4 linked regions of the Macaca fascicularis genome follow. The protein of the gene in region 2 binds, or shares a complex with, the protein of the main gene of each other region. Links are inferred from orthologs where the notes say so. Each region holds a gene or a part of one and is shown on either strand. Other genes may lie near its edges.

Region 1 (4,211 bases), on a different chromosome or scaffold from region 2:
GCGATGGGGTTTCGCCATGTTGGTCAGGCTGGTCTTGAACTCCTGATCTCAGGTGATCCGCCCACCTCAGCCTCCCAAAGTGTTGGGATTACAGGCTCGGCCGACTCCAAGGTTTTTATGCTGAGTGAGAGGAAGGATGGATGGAATTTTTGGTCACCTGATATGTATAAAGCTGCAGGAGGAGGTTTATAGAGGGAAAAATTAGAGGAATGAGGTTAAAGCTGGAACAGGATGAAAGGATGAAGAGGGAAGTGAGGATCTTTTTTTTCTTTAAAGATGAAGGAGCTGGGCACAGTGGATCATGCCTGTAATCCCAGCACTCTGGGAGGCCAAGGTGGGTAGATCACCTGAAGTCAGGAGTTCAAGACCAGCCTGACCAACGTGGCGAAACCTCGTTTCTACTAAAAATACAAAAACTAGCCAGGCGGTAGTGACACGTGTCTGTAATCCCAGCTACTTGGGAGGCTAAGGCAGGAGAATCGCTTGATCCCGGGAGCGGGAGGTTGCAGTGAGCCGAGATCGTACCACTTCACTCTAGCCTGGGCCACAGGGCAAGACTCTGTCTCAAAAAACAAAAAACAAACAAACAAAAAAAAGTTGAAGGAAATCAGAGCACATCTGAAGGCTGAAGAGAACAGTTCAGTTGAAAGAGAGTGTTCTGGGGCTGTAGGAGAACTAGACTCCAAAGAAGCAATGCAAGAAATTTATGAAAGAAGAGGTGAAAAGTCAGGTCTGTGGGTATGAAAGACAGACTTGGTTACTCCTGTAGACACGCCTCTCACATCTCCTCGTCACCTTCCATCATCACTCCTTCCCATTCACTCCAGACACACCACATGTTGCCTCACTGATGGACACACACCACATCGATTTTCTGCCACTATGCCATTGCTTGGGCTGTTACTACCAACAGGAACACTCACTCTGTTCTTCCCTCTCACTAAACCCTACTTATCCTTCCAGACCACTCTGGTCTAAGTCCCCAGCATCTCTAGCCTGGACTACTCATCCCCTTGCTTCCACCTTCACTAATGAGTCTGTTCACAGCAGCCAGAGGGATGCTGTCAAATCATAAATCATATTTCATCTATGCTCAGGGCTTGCCTAGGCTCTCATCCCACTCAGAGTAAAAGCCAAAGTCCTCACAATGGCCTACAAGGCCCTGCCTTGTCTAGCACCCCCATCTCCTTTCTGACTTCGTCTACTATCCCTTCCCCTCACTCATTCCACTTCAGTCACACTAGTCTCTTTGGTGTTCCGCAAACACTCTAGGCAGTGTCTACCTTCAGGGCCTTTACATTTCCTGTTCCCTTTGCTGCACACCTCATTCAGATAATCCTAGGATTCAAGTACGTTTTTAGCATCCAGATATCCAGATTCATTTGGTAATGCTTCCAAAAAGGATGACAGGAGAAAGGACAGGTGGCGGGCCTCTAGCACACAGACTTTCCCTGCTATGTGCAGGGACAAAGCCTAGCAGACAGGGCAAAGAAAGGCTGGGGCAGGAGGGGGACAAGGGGCCAGCTCACTGTCTCTGCCCGGGGTTCGCTGTCTGCCCCTTCCCCGCTGGGGGTGCATCCTTTCTGGATCATGGGGATAGCGAGCGTGGGGTCGACACCCGCATTCTCTCTCTCTTCCAGAGACTTCTTGGATTCTAAGGGAAGAATAGGAGGGAGCAATGAAGTCCCACTCTATCCTTCCACCTTCTTCATCTTCTTCCTTCACTGGGGAAGGGTAAAGGGGCATCACTCACCCTCAATGAGCTCCTTCACAGCCTGGGACAGCACCCCATCTGCCAAGGCCTCAGTATCTGTGGATGGCCCAGGGGGCCGGGCTGGTGACTGCCTGCGATGGCCATTCTGGATCAAAGGGATGACGAGTTCCTTGGGGGCTTCCTGGGGCTTCACACTGATGTGGACACAGAGGGGTGGGGTTGGGAGAATGGCAGTGTCAGTGGGTCACACTCCTTTATTCAGAGAAAACACGAGAGCCAAACTCACCCCAGCCCCACAGACCATGCCTTCTCTACTCCATGTCTGGATCTCCTGTACCTCTCTGATCGTGCATTCTTTGGATTATCCCCCCCAGTGCCCCCAACTCGTAAATGTCAGTGCCTTCGAGAAATAAGTCCTGGACTCTCTGTTTAACTCAAGACCGGCTTCCACAATGGCCCACAAATCACTATCTTCAGCCTAGACCCTCCCTAGCTCCAGGTTCCCAAACAGCTTCCCAGATGCCTGATTCTCTTCTGGAAATCCCTCCCTCAGACTCTCCTCTCCTCATTAAGCTGATGGTGGCCTCCATCAACCTGAATCTGCCGCTCCATCCCGTTCCCCATATCAGAGAAGCCCCACCACTTCAGCTGAGACACTAGCAGGTCCTGTCATTTTCTCATTCTTTCCTTCTCCCAAAACGCACACACCTCAGTGTCCTCAAGTCCTAAAGACACTTCTTCTCAGTGATACATCCTCTCTTCGCAATTCCCACGGCTATCAGGCCCAATTTCCCCACCCCTCTTATAAACTCCAGCCTTCTGGCCTCCACGAATTTACTCAGGCTGTGCTTCAGGCTTAACAGGTCACTGTCACCAAGACAAACGACTGAGTGAGATTCCTCCCTCCCGCTTACGCCCACCGCAGCGATTTCCAAGGTGTGAAAGACCCGGCGCGTCACCTCTGCAGCTCCCTCCCTTCCACGGTTTTCAAGAAATCCTTCTCCTCCGGAGATGGCCTCGCGCCGTCTCCCGAGTCGGCCAGCCGCCTCCGTGCGGACGTGCGAGTGAAGCCGAATGAAATTGGGGCAGTGGAAGCAGCCGTCAGCGGCAAAACACCCTCTTCGGAGTCAGCCATCTTGCCCCTTTTCCCAGGCCTGCGCGCTGCTTGCTGGGAAATTTAGTTTGGGTTCAGATGGCTAGGGGCCGGCCAAAGTGCGTAAAAACTACCTTCCCATCAACCACTGTGGCACCGGCGGGAGGGGGCGGTAAGGGGCCGTGGGAAGTAATTGTCGCTCTTTCAAACGTCGTGGGAGTGCGTCGCGCCAAGTGCACAGGGAAATGTAGTTTTTTTTGTTTTGTTTTGTTTTTGTTTCTTTTTTTTTTTTAAAGATGGAGTCTTGCTCTGTTGCCCAGGCTGGAGTGCAGTGGTGTGATCTCGGCTCACTGCAACCTCTGCCTCCCGGGTTCAAGCGCTTCTCCTGCTGCAGCCTCCCGAGTAGCTGAGGCTACAGGCATGCGCCACCACGCCCGGCTAATTTTTGTATTTTTAGTAGAGACGGGTTTCACCGTGTTAGCCAGGATAGTCTCCATCTCCTGACCTCGTGATCCGCCTGCCTCGGCCTCCCACAGTGCTGGGACTACAGGCGTAAGCCACCACGCCCGGCCGGAAATGTAGTTTTTAGCGAGGTAGGCATGGTGGAAGGTGGATTCATTCTTGCCAGGCATTGATTCCTTCGTGTAGGCGTTTGACAAGTATTTATGGAGCGCCTACTGTGTGCCCTACTCATGTGGGAAGTGTTGATGAAGTAAATCATTTAGAAATAATCAGCCAGGTGTGGTGGCGTGCACCTGTAGTTTCATTTAGCCCACAGGCTGAGGCAGGAGGATGGCCTGAGGCCCAGGAGTTCGAGGATGCACTTAGCTCTTATTGCGCCACTGCATTCCAGCATGGGTGACAGAGCGATACCCCGTCTCTAAAAAAGAAAAAGTCAGGGTCGGGGGCGGGGGAAGGAGTGTCAGTTGTCTACAATAGTAAATAATAGACATAAAGTGCCTACTGGCCAGGCGTGGTAGCTCATGCCTGTAATCCTAGCATTTTGGGAGGCCTAGGCTGGTGGATCACCTGAGGTCAGGACTTTGAGACCAGCCTGACTCATATGGTGAAACCCTGTCTCTACTAAAAATACAAAAATTAGCCGGGCTGGTGGTGGCACCTGTAGTCCCAGCTACTCAGGAGGCTGAGACAGGAGGATTGCTTGAACCCGGGAGGCAGAGTTTGCAGTAAGCCGAGATCCCGCCACTGCACTCCAACCTGGGCGACAGAGCGAGACTCTGTCTTAAAAAAGAAAAAGAAAGAAAGAAAGAAAGAAAGAAAGAAAGAAGAAAGAAGGAAGGAAGGAAGGAAGGAAGGAAGGAAGGAAGGAAGGAAGGAAGGAAGGAAGGAAGGAAGGAAGGAAGGAAGGAAGGAAGGAAGGAAGGAAGGAAGGAAGGAAGGAAG
Region 2 (3,570 bases):
GATTGGAGAAGGCTTGCTGAATTCAGGCAGAGGTGTTTTTTATGTATTTTCTTCTCTTTTTTCCGACAGGTCAGAATCCGAGTCCAAGAAGCGTAAGCATAGGTAAGAGCTCTTTAACTCATTGGGGGCACAGTGGCATGTAGAGTGGTGATTTCTTTTTCTTGAAGTGAAGCTCAATACCTTGATCTTTCTCCTGTTAACATTCCCTAACTCTTTACATTTCACTTTTGGTTTTATTTCCTTTTTTAAAAAAGTTACTTTTAACAATCTTTCCTTATTTCTCAGGTCTCCCACTCCAAAGAGCAAACGTAAATCTAAGGACAAAAAGCGAAAGCGGTGAGTGAATTTGTGGGGAATTTGCTTAGAAAGTAAGTGAACACCACCTTAGTGGGAAGGGGTTGAGTCAGTTATGTCCCTAACTGGTAAAAGGTTGAGGGGTAGGTGAGGAAAATCCAGGGCAGGTACAGCAGTACCCTGAGCTGTGGCGGTGGTCTTCCTTCAGGTCTCGAAGTACAACACCAGCCCCCAAGAGCCGCCGGGCCCACCGTTCAACTTCTGCTGACTCTGCTTCCTCCTCTGATACTTCCCGCAGTCGGTAAGGGGTAGTCCAGGAGGAAGGGAGGGAGAGGGAATGATGGGTTAATTAATTTAATATTTATTGAGCGCCCACGGTGTGCTAGGCGCTGCACAGACCATTCGGAAGACACGGTCCCTGCCCTCTAGGAGCTGACAGGCTAAAGCAACAGGATGGACAGACATATACATTTCCCCTTCTCTTTTTTTTTTTGTTTTTGTTTATTTGTTATTTTTTGTTTCGTTCTGATGTATATGGACTGCCAGAATAGGGGGGGTGGTGGTTTGTTCGTGGTGTCTGGGGGAGGAAGGAATCCTTACCCTGGCTTCCTTAATCGGGGAAGGCTTCCTGAAGGAGGTGGGCTCAGAGGTGAGTTGTGAATGAAGCGGGTAGGGAGTGGGCTGGGTGGATGGTTTCGGGATGTTTGGGGGAGGTGAGTGAAGGGGTAGAGGGAGAACACTGTTTGGGATTGTGTTGGGAAGAGAAGAACCAAAGTGGACTGTACTTGCATTTCAGTGAATGATTTGAGTTATGCGACTAAGCAGGCTTTTTGGAAGAGGGTTGTACAGTTGGAAAAGGTGGATGGGAGTTGGGGAGGGGGTTTCCTGTTCTCCCTTTGAGCTGATTTCCTTCCTCTCCCCCATCCTCAATTAACTCCTGCAGGTCTCGAAGTGCTGCAGCTAAAACTCATACAACTGCCTTGACTGGGCGAAGTCCTTCCCCTGCTTCAGGGCGACGAGGGGAGGGAGATGCACCTTTCAGTGAACCAGGTACTACCAACACACAACGGCCTAGTAGCCCGGAGCCTGCTACAAAACAGCCTAGCAGCCCTTATGAAGACAAAGATAAAGACAAGAAGGAGGTATGTTCCTGAGTTGGTGATGTTCATTGGATTGCAAGTGTATAGATTTAGGATAAACTTGTGACATGAAAGGGAGAGGTAGTAACTTACTAAAATAAATTCGGTTATTTTTTTCTGCATTGATCTCCCAGTTTTCTTACTGTATCTGCAGAACTTGTAGTGTTGTTACTAGACTGAATTGTGAACCCTTTAGAATCAAATCTCACTGGATACTAATAGGTTTTATATTGTATCTTGTTTATACACAGAACTGGAACAAAAGTTGTATTTTATCTGTGTACGCCGTGTTTCTTTTCTTTTCTTTTTTCATTAAATGCTCGTTGTGTCTCACTAAAACTGTTTAATCCATTGGGGTGCCACCAATAGTTTGAATGAAACACTGGAATAGTCTTCAGTAGTTTTCTTTTCTAATTTTAAGCGTTAATCATTTCCTCTTGCTTTAGTGATTACAGTGTAAATTCTTGGCCTCTGTCATCAATTTTCCATGTCATCCAGGATTACCTTTCCAAATTACAAGTTGGTTGACCTCAGAAACTTAACTGCTTCCTTATTGCTTTTGAATTACATTTAAGGCTTTTAATAATTTGGTCTTTTTCTCATTTCCTGTACTCTTTCCATCCTGGTCTGCTTTTCTACTCTTCAAACAAATCATGTTCTCACATCTTTATTCATGTTGTTTCTTTTCCTTTAATAGAGTTATTCTTAAAAGGTGAAGTTGCCATTCGCTTTAGGAAACTGCTTATTTTTCCATTTAAAGATAGTTTTTTCCGCTTTGATAACATTTCGTAGTGGTATTTGTTGTTAAATGTAGTAGTGTGTTAGTTATTTGCGTTTAGTGTTTCAGTTTTAAGATTCTCAGACTATCCATATCTTCATATGTTTTCCCCACTGTTCTTTATATAATTCCTTGTTATTGAATGAAAGTGATTGCTTGTGGTCAGGGGATGTGTAAAAGAAAAGTTATTGGAAAGGGTGTTGGGATCTTAGGAGTGATGTGAAGTCTTGGCGTTTATGAATCCCTATCCCTACTCTCTCTTTCACTCTTAGAAATCTGCAGCTCGACCTAGCCCCTCTCCGGAAAGGAGCAGCACAGGCCCAGAACCACCTGCTCCCACTCCGCTCCTTGCTGAGCGACATGGCGGCTCCCCACAACCACTTGCAACAACCCCCTTAAGCCAAGAGCCAGTGAACCCCCCATCTGAGGCCTCTCCCACTCGGGGCCGTTCACCACCTAAGTCTCCTGAGAAACTTCCCCAGTCTTCTTCCTCAGAGAGCAGCCCACCATCCCCTCAACCTACCAAAGTTTCTCGGCATGCCAGCTCTTCCCCAGAAAGTCCTAAACCTGCTCCAGCTCCGGGGTCCCACCGAGAGATTTCTTCTTCTCCCACATCCAAGAATCGCTCACATGGCCGAGCAAAACGGGATAAATCACATTCTCATACCCCTTCCCGTAGGACGGGGAGGTCCCGTAGCCCTGCCACCGCTAAGAGAGGGCGATCTCGGTCTCGAACCCCTACAAAGAGAGGTCATTCTCGATCCCGATCTCCCCAGTGGCGTAGGTCCAGGTCTGCACAGAGGTGGGGAAGATCTAGAAGCCCCCAGCGACGTGGCCGCTCTAGGTCTCCTCAGCGACCAGGCTGGTCTAGGAGCAGAAATACCCAGAGAAGAGGCAGGTCTAGGTCAGCAAGGCGAGGGAGGTCCCACTCTAGATCCCCAGCCACTCGGGGCAGATCTCGTTCTAGAACACCAGCCCGGCGGGGCAGGTCACGCTCTAGAACACCTGCCAGGCGGAGATCACGATCCAGAACACCTACCAGGCGTAGGTCTCGGTCTAGAACACCAGCCCGGAGGGGCAGGTCTCGGTCTAGAACACCTGCTAGGCGCAGATCTAGGACCCGATCGCCAGTACGACGGAGGTCTCGTAGTAGATCACCAGCCAGGAGAAGTGGCAGGTCACGCTCCAGAACCCCAGCTAGACGTGGCCGCTCACGCTCCAGAACCCCAGCCAGACGTGGCCGCTCACGCTCTAGAACCCCAGCTAGACGCAGTGGTCGCTCACGCTCCAGAACACCAGCCAGGAGAGGGAGGTCTCGATCTAGGACACCAAGACGAGGAAGATCCCGCAGTAGAAGCT
Region 3 (4,251 bases), on a different chromosome or scaffold from region 2:
TCCATCTAAATACAGGTGGACAATAAACTGAAATTATTATTCAAGTTAAGGCATGGGCATTTGAAATACAAAATGTGTCACCGTGCTGTCTTCTGGGTGGTCTCAGGTACAAGCCACTGTAGGTCATTCAACAATGTTCAATCATGGGGAAGGAGAGTTAACTTCTTTTCTTTTTCTTCTTCTTTTTCTTGAGACAGAGGCTCACTTTATCACCCAAGCTGGAGTGCAGTGGAGTGATCTCGGCTCACCGCAACCTCCGCCTCCAGGTTCAAGTGATTCTCCTGCCTCAGCCACCCGAGTAGCTGGGGCTACAAATGCACAGCACCACACCCTGCTACATATTTTTGTATTTTTAGTAGAGACAGGGTTTCACCATGTTGGCCAGGCTGGTCTCGAACTGCTGATCTCAAGTGATCCGCCTGCCGTGGCCTCCCAAAGTGCTGGGAATGCAGGCATGAGCCATCGCGCCCCAACAGAAGAATTAACTTCTAAAAATTCAACAGCTGGGAAAGCTAATAGAGCTAAGAAAGCTCGCTTAGAAAAACCAGGTAGTCTAGGAAGTGTCAGAACTCCAAAAAGTGATTGGAGGTAATCTATCCAAAGCAGGGAAGGATGTGGTGGCATAATAATAAATACTGGCTGGCCATGGATCAAGTACTTTGGAGCAAGGAGGGAAACAAACCTGATTCTGAGGACAGGGGGAGGATGAACCATAGCATGCCCCTAAAAGATGGGCTAGAGCAGAAGTTTTCAAACTAACTGGCATGAGAATCACTCGAACGCTTTGGCGCAAAAAAACCCAAAAAAAAAAACAAAACTGTTGGGCCTGCATTTCTACGTTTCTGATTCAACAGAACTGGGTGAAGCCCAGTAATTTACATTGCTAATAAGCTTCAAAGAGATGTTGCTGATTCAGGAGACCACATTTTTGGAACCACTAGACCAGGGTATTAGATCAAAGTTCTTGGCCTTTAACTTATAACCAAGACGGTCTCAGAGCCCCAGTCAATTGAGTTGGGTAAGACTCCATAAAAGTGGCATGGACACTTAAAACTAGAAGGGCACTGGCCGAGCGCAGCGGCTCACCCTGTAATCCCAGCACTTTGGGAGGCTGAGGTGGGTGGATCACGAGGTCAGGAGATAGACACCATCCTGGCTAACATGGTGAAACCCCGTCTCTACTAAAAATAAAAAAAATTAGCAGGGCGTAGTGGCTGGCGCCTGTAGTCCCAGCTACTCGGGAGGCTGAGGCAGGAGAATGGCGTGAACTCGAAAGGCGGAGCTTGCAGCGAGCCAAGATCCGCCACTGCACTCCAGCCTGGGCGACAGAGTGAGACTCCGTCTCAAAAAAAAAAAAAACCTGGAAGGACACTTAAAGGTGGAAAGGCAACACTCAGACCCAGAGGGCAAGAACTGAGGCACAGACAGAACTCATCAACTGTATCATAGTAGCAATTTACAATAATACAAAGCTAACACTGTATATCAGGCACTGTGCTCAGTGCCTCATCTGCATTATTTTCTTTATACTCAAAAAAAGACAACACAGTGAGGCAGGTATTGTATTATTACCTACATGTTTTCAGATGATGAAGCTGACTATATATAATAGAGACTTTAACTTGCTCCAAGTGACAGACCTAATAATAGCTAAATAAAACTGAAATCTTTGGTCTACTAGTCCATCACCCAGGACCAACAAAAGTAGCTTTCCTCAACCTACTGATAAGGCCTGTAACAAGGCTTCTCCTCTCCTGGTCAAAACCACACTTTTAATGTCAATTTTAAATCTGCCCTTGCATAGTAGGATAATCTGTGTTAACTCCTGAATTCACAAGCAATCCTACAACAAGATAAGTCTAAATACGGATAAGAGGTAGGTTAACTGATCTGCTGAGGACCCAATTTGTTTGTTTATCTGCTATTTCGAGTCTCTGCACATCCAAAAATGCAAAGGAAACTCTTACCTAATTCTTGCATCTAGAATAGCCTTTCTCCAAATCCTGCCTTCTCCAATTACCTCAAAAGAATTGTTAGGATTAAGTGGAAATAGGTATGGTAGTTTTTGCAGTTAAACTCAGTGAAATTAACGATTATATTTCCGTTCTATAATGCTGTGTTACAGGACCCAAAGCTCCTTAGAGAGGTGGAGTCTGGACACCCAAGTTTAGCAGTTATTACCTCATTGGAGATAGTTCAAGTTATGTAAGGATCAAGAATGACAGGTGAAGAGGACACAAGAGAAGCGAAGCGTCTTCAAAACTAAACTCTAGAAACTATCAGTATTTACAGGGCAAATAAATGAAAAAGAAACCGCTAATGAAACGTAAAACAAATAGCCAAAGGGATATAACGCCGGAAAGAGGCATAAGAGTGCAAGTACTTCAACTAACTTTTAATCAACTAGAGCTCATTAATCCCACTCCCCAGGCACTGGGAAAGGGGCTTTGGCAAGCCCAATGGACTCCAGAGGCTCTAAGTATAAAACACACCGCACACGAAACAACAGAGCACCAGCGTTGGTGCAGGACTTCAGACAGCTGCAGGAACCTCACAAGGAAGGTCAGCCGGTCCGCTCAGGCAGTCAGTCAGTTCACCGCAGCCCATTCGCTCCCCACCCGCTTGGACTCCTCGGACCCAGCCACTCTCACACCCCTCTCGCGGGCCCGAGCGTGGCGGGAAGACCCACGCACACTCCAATGCCGCTCACAGCCGTATCAGTGAGCCCGCACCCACTCCTCAGGGTCTTTCACTTCCCACCCGACCCGACAACCCGCCACCCCCGCTCCGCTTCGGTGCCTACGGGGACTCCGCGGAGTTCGATAATTACCTAAAGCTGCACCGCGCCGCCATTACACCGGATGTACGTCACTTCCTCTTCCCGAGCACCGACAGTAGGAACAAGGCAGATACTGAAATACATAAAAACTTGACGCTCAATTGGCTTGACGCGTTATCCTTTTAATTTATTTCAGATACCATATCATAATGCCAGAGTCAAAGCAGTCGATCCAGGCACACTGTATTCTTATCAAAATGGCGACTAAAAAGAAGTTGGCATGAACTACAAAGTCCGAAATCCAGCACCTGTGCTGACGGAAATGACGAAAGCATAATTGTAGTTTAGCGGTGAAATGGCGCGGTGTACGATGGGAATTGTAGTTCATACAGATGCGCGCCAGCGAGTTAACATCCACGCTGCTGACTGGCAGCCTAGCAGTGTTTAGGGTCTAGGCAAATTTACTTTAATCTAAAAGTATTTCACTGCATTTTGGGAATTTTTTTTTTTTTTTAGTAGTCAGTTGTCACTTTCCTTGAAAATCTTAAGTGAGAGATTTTCTTGAGACTTTTTTTTATAAGAGTTTGACCAAGAGTCAAGTGCCTAATAAATTCCAAGACATCCAAGCCAAGAGAATGGGAGAATATTAGATCATAAATAGAGTGAAATAATGAGGAAAAAATAATTCTGTAGAGACTATGTTGCCTGTCTTTTAAGGTAAGGTACCAACTGGTATGACCTGAGAATAAGGAGATTGCCTGGCTGAGTAGGAAGTAGCAGTTTGTACAGCATGCAGAACTAGGGCATCAAACAAATTGTTTCTTTAAACTTCACTTTTCACTAGTAACAAAACGTAAAAGTTCAACTACTTACTATTTTGGAAACTCTCTTTCTAAAACAAGAATATCTTTATGTTATCAAATCTTTCATAAACCAGGCCTGATTTCTCCACACACTTCTCTATTACAGTTTTAGGGTGCTGTGCTTCCACTCCTTTCTGGAGGCAAAGTGTGAGAATTAAGAATAAAAACACTGCAGTTGGACTACTTACGTTTGAATCTTGAGTCCTTTGATTATTTATGGATGATTGGGGCAAGTAACTTCACATTCTGTGGCCGTTTCCTGATCTGTTAAATGGAAATACTAGTAGTACCCATTCATGCAGTAGTTGTAAGAATTGAATTAGTTGATTCACAAGATACGTTTAAGATAATTGCTAGTATACAATAGTGTTATCTATTTTATTTCATATTTAAGATATTTGGCCATTGTTGATGGTGCACTTTGGTGTACCAATACAGGGCACAGGAGATGGATCTGGAGATGAACATTTGTATTTATATATTTAAAAACCCACAATACTATCTGTGATGGTTAATTCTGAATATCAACTTGATTGGATTGAAGGATGCAAAGTATTGATCCTGGGTGTGTCTGTGAGGGTGTTGCCAAACTGTTGACAACTGTTTGTT
Region 4 (4,250 bases), on a different chromosome or scaffold from region 2:
AAAAAAAAAAAAAACCAGCTGGGCGCGGTGGTTCACAACTGTAATCCCAGCACTTTGGGAGGCCGAGGCTGGTGGATCATGAGGTCAGGAGATCGTGACCATCCTGGATAACACGGTGAAACCCCATCTCTACTAAAAATACAAAAAATTAGCTGGGTGTGGCGGTGGGCACCTGTAGTCCCAGCTACTCGGGAGGCTGAGGCAGGAGAATGGCGTGAACCCGGGAGGCAGAGCTTGCACTGAGCCGAGATCGCACCACTGCACTCCAGTCTGGGCAACAGAACAAGACTCCATCTCAAAAAAAAAAAAAAAAAAATTGCTTATCTGAACGCCAGTGCTTGTTTAGCTGATAGAGAAATAAAAAAACCCTGTGGCAGTTAGGATATAGTTTATTCTTTAGGCGTAGGGGTGGGTAACTTAACCAGGGAAGTTGTCTGGCATGACTGTAGGTTCTATTTATAATTTGGTATCTTATTGCCACAAAGAGTCTGTTTCGTCAATCTTATTTCTATTTCTTTATTTTTATTAAAAATTAGCCACCATGCTCAGCTAATTTTTTTTTTTTTTTGTATTTTTAGTAGAGACGGGGTTTCACCATGTTAACCAGGATGGTCTCGATCTCCTGACCTCATGATCCACCACCTCAGCCTCCCAAAGTGCTGGGATTACAGGTGCGAGCCACCGCGCCGGGCCCCTTATGATCTCTATTTCAACGTTAATGCCAGTCAGTTGTTGTGTCTGGGCCACAAAAGGGAGGAAGATATAACAAGGTACAGCTGACCTCCATCGCATCATGGCCAGGAACTCAGTTTTAAGGTTTTCCTGGAGTTCTCTTAGGCACAAGGGTGTCTGCTCAGCCAGTAAGGGGATTTAGGATTTTATTTTTAGCTTACAGGGAGGAGCAGGCTCAGGAGCTGAAAATCAAGAGTTCTGTTTAAGGCATATTAAATTTGAGGGCACGGTGGCTCACGCCTGTAATCCCAGCACTTTGAGAGGCAGAGGCGGGTGGATCACCCGAGGTCAGGAGTTCGATACCAGCCTGGCCAACATGGTGAAACCTATCTCTACTAAAAATACAAAAATTAGCCGGGCATGGTGGCAGGTGCCTGTAATCTCAGCTACTGGGGAGGCGGAGGTGGGAGAATCGCTTGAATCTGGGAAGTAGAGGTTGCAGTGAGCCAAGATCGCACCATTGCACTCCAGCCTGGGCAACACAGCAAGACTCCATCTCAAAAAAAAAAAATTGAGATGTTTATCAGTCCTCCAGTGGAGATATCAAGTAAGCCACTAACTACACAAGACTGGGGAAAGCAGCTTATAGATGACTGGGAAATTATATCACTCACAGAGAATGTTTATGGAAAAGAAACCTATGAGATCTGAGAAAAGGGAGGAGGGTCCAGAAAGGAGGCTGGGAAAAGAGAGGCCGCTGAAGTCGATGGAAAACAAAGAGCACAGGAAATCTCAGATACCAAAGGAAGGCTTCAGAAGGAGGGAGTGGTTAACAGTGTGACATACTGTTGAGAACCCCAACAAAATGAGGACTGAGGCTGCCCTGGAGCGGTGGCTCGCCTATAATCCCAGTACTTTGGGAGGCCAAGGCGGGCGGATCACCTGAGATCGGAGTTCGAGACCAGCCTGACCAACATGGAGAAACCCCCTTCTCTACTAAAAATACAAAATTAGCCGGGCCTGGGGGCACATGCCTGTAATCCCAGCTATTCGGGAGGCTGAAGCAGGAGAATCCCTTGAACCTGGGAAGCGGGGGTTGCGAAAAGCCGAGATCGCACCACTGCACTCCCCAGCATGGGCAACAAGAGCGAAACTCCGTCTCAAAAAAAACACGAGGACTGAGGATTGAATACTAGAGTTAGCAACAAGAAGTCGCTGGCAACCTGACAAGGGGCAGTTCTGGGATCGAAATTCTGACTTGAGTGGTTTCAAGAGACTCAGAAAACAGCATGAAGCCACGGGTCTCTAACTTGTTCTGAAATCACGGCGGCAGCAGGAGGGGAACGCGGGGCACGGGGCATAGGCGGATTTTTTTGTTTTATTTTATTTATTATTTTTGAGACAGAGTCTGGCTCTGTCGCCCAGGCTGGAGTGCAGTGACACGATCTCGGCTCTCGGCAATCTCCGCCTCCCGGGTTCAAGCGATTCTCCTGCCTCAGCCTCCCGAGTAGCTAGGATTACAGGCGCCCGCCACCACGCCCCGCTAATTTTTGTGTTTTGGGTAGAGACGGGGTTTCATGATGGTGGCCAGGCTGGTCTTGAACTCCTGACCTCAGGTGATCCGCCCGCCTCAGCCTCCCAAAGTGCTGGGATTACAGGTGAGCCACCGCGCCCGGCCTGGTTTGCTTTAAATAGGAAGGCTCTGCAGCACGTGTGCAGGCTGACAGGCATGAACCAGAACACAGCCAGACGCGAAGTACGGAAGAGGGAGAGATTACAGGGGCAAAGCTCGCGAGCAGACGGGGCACGGTCCGGGCAGAACTAGAGTAAAGGAAGACCGGGCTGCGCTCGAGCCCGCAGCTGACGTCTTCGGAGCCGCGGCCCCCTGGGAGAGCGCGGCGGCCCGAGGGTCATTACCCTGACTGGAGAGACGGCGGCAGCTTCCGGGAGGAAGTGACTTTTGGGCTGGGCTCTGGGGACCAGCTGAGAGGGAAGGCGAGCGGCGAGCAGGGCGGGACAGGCGGTTTACTGAGGCAGAGCGGAGCGCCACTCCCGACTGCGGCTCAACTTACATCTTGTCCTTCTGGTGCTGTCGCTTCCCCATGGCGGCGCGGCGGCGGCGGCAACTACCTAGCACGAAAAAGCAACCGCTGACCACTCAGACCATGGAGCCACTGCCGAGTTTCGTGACCACTTCCGGGTTCCGCGGCTCGCCCCGGAAACAGGCGCTTGGCGGGCTGGGAATTGTGGTTCGCTAGCGCCAGGTGCGCATGCTCGGAAGGATCGCCTGCCCAGTATGGGGTCCTAGCTAGGTGTGTTGTGTCTCGCTGGCGCCTTCTCGGGGCAGAGCTCCCTCAGCCTCGAAGCCCCATCTTCTCGAAGGGTCTCTCCCGACCGCCTCGCCTACCCCCCTCAGCCACGGCTCAGGGCCATTCCCATACTGGGTTCTCAGGTCTTATTTTATTTTCGAGACAGGATCTCGCTCTGTCGCCCAGGTTGGAGTGCAGTGGCGCAATCACAGCTCACTACAGCCTCGACCTCCCAGGCTCAAGCGATTCTCCCACCTCAGCCTCCCGAGTAGCTACGGGCACGCGCCACCACACCCGGCTAATATGTTAATTTTTTGTAGAGACAAGCTCTTACTATTTTGCCCAGGCTGGTCTGGAGCTCTTGAGCTCAAGCAGTCCTCCCGCCTTGGCCTCCCAAAGTGCTGGGATTACAGGCCTGAGCCTCCGCGCCCGGCCAGCGCTCAGGTCTTTTTCAGTGTCCTCCTAGAGCTTCAAGTCTCATGAGCCTCCACCCCATCCTTTCCCGCCTCCGTGGCCGACTCCTTCAAAGCCATGTACCACCCTCGTTCTACTCGCTCACTTCTCATTCTCTCTGCATATTCCGTCCGCACCGCCTCCAGGCCCCTTGGAGGCCCAGCAGCAGGTGGCCATCAAGCCTAGAGGTCCAAAACCCTGCCTGATCCCTTCCTTCTCTTCTGCCAGACTCTTGCCTTGGGTCAGAACAGTACCTTGGGCCCCCAACTACACTCAGGCCTGGGGTAATCTTGCCTAGGCTCCTAATTTTAAACGCCATTTATATCCCATGACTCCCAATACTAAGTCACAAGTACTCCAGGTTCCTGATCTCCACTTGGGTAGCCGCTGATCTCAAATTTAACATGTGTGGACGGGCGTGGTGGCTCACACCTGTAATCCTGGCACTTGGAGAGGCTGAGGCAAGCGGATCACTTGAGGTCAGGAGTTCAAGACTAGCCTGGCCAACATTGCAAAACCCTGTCTCTACTAAAAATACAAAAATTAGCCGGGTGTGGTGGCGGGTGCCTGTAGTTCCAGCTACTCAGGAGGTTGAGGCAGTGAGAATCACTTGAACCCAGGAGGCAGAGGTTGCAGTGAGCCAAGATTGTGCCATTGTACTCCAGCCTGGGGTGACAGAGCAAGACTCTGTCTCAAAGAAAAAAAAAAACTGGAAACAAATGTCTATGAGAACACAGCTAAACGACCCCTGGTACAGCCATGCAGTGGACTATTTTGGAACTGCTTAAAGGAATGAAGTAGATATCCCAAGAAGTA

The links.
Region 1: SRRM2 (region 2) and GPKOW share a complex: the UniProt entries of both Homo sapiens proteins name them as parts of the minor spliceosome. The link is inferred for Macaca fascicularis from reciprocal best matches to the Homo sapiens genes SRRM2 and GPKOW.
Region 3: SRRM2 (region 2) and CWC22 share a complex: the UniProt entries of both Homo sapiens proteins name them as parts of the minor spliceosome. The link is inferred for Macaca fascicularis from reciprocal best matches to the Homo sapiens genes SRRM2 and CWC22.
Region 4: SRRM2 (region 2) and PPIL2 share a complex: the UniProt entries of both Homo sapiens proteins name them as parts of the minor spliceosome. The link is inferred for Macaca fascicularis from reciprocal best matches to the Homo sapiens genes SRRM2 and PPIL2.

Annotation. Positions count from the first base shown.
Region 1 is NC_088395.1:49,285,807-49,290,017, forward strand, and holds the start of GPKOW (G-patch domain and KOW motifs-containing protein), read right to left. Parts: upstream 2,871-4,211; 5' UTR 2,850-2,870; coding exon 2,674-2,849; intron 1,909-2,673; coding exon 1,754-1,908; intron 1,655-1,753; coding exon 1,530-1,654; intron 1-1,529. UniProt on the Homo sapiens protein: RNA-binding protein involved in pre-mRNA splicing. As a component of the minor spliceosome, involved in the splicing of U12-type introns in pre-mRNAs.
Region 2 is NC_088394.1:3,609,226-3,612,795, reverse strand, and holds part of SRRM2 (serine/arginine repetitive matrix protein 2), read left to right. Parts: intron 1-69; coding exon 70-102; intron 103-285; coding exon 286-336; intron 337-502; coding exon 503-595; intron 596-680; coding exon of another isoform or gene 681-723; exon of another isoform or gene 724-943; intron 944-1,237; coding exon 1,238-1,436; intron 1,437-2,483; coding exon 2,484-3,570. UniProt on the Homo sapiens protein: Required for pre-mRNA splicing as component of the spliceosome. As a component of the minor spliceosome, involved in the splicing of U12-type introns in pre-mRNAs.
Region 3 is NC_088386.1:75,564,197-75,568,447, forward strand, and holds the start of CWC22 (pre-mRNA-splicing factor CWC22 homolog), read right to left. Parts: upstream 2,871-4,251; 5' UTR 2,831-2,870; intron 1-2,830. UniProt on the Homo sapiens protein: Required for pre-mRNA splicing as component of the spliceosome. As a component of the minor spliceosome, involved in the splicing of U12-type introns in pre-mRNAs. Promotes exon-junction complex (EJC) assembly.
Region 4 is NC_088384.1:31,463,042-31,467,291, forward strand, and holds the start of PPIL2 (RING-type E3 ubiquitin-protein ligase PPIL2), read right to left. Parts: upstream 2,871-4,250; 5' UTR 2,777-2,870; coding exon 2,745-2,776; intron 1-2,744. UniProt on the Homo sapiens protein: Has a ubiquitin-protein ligase activity acting as an E3 ubiquitin protein ligase or as an ubiquitin-ubiquitin ligase promoting elongation of ubiquitin chains on substrates.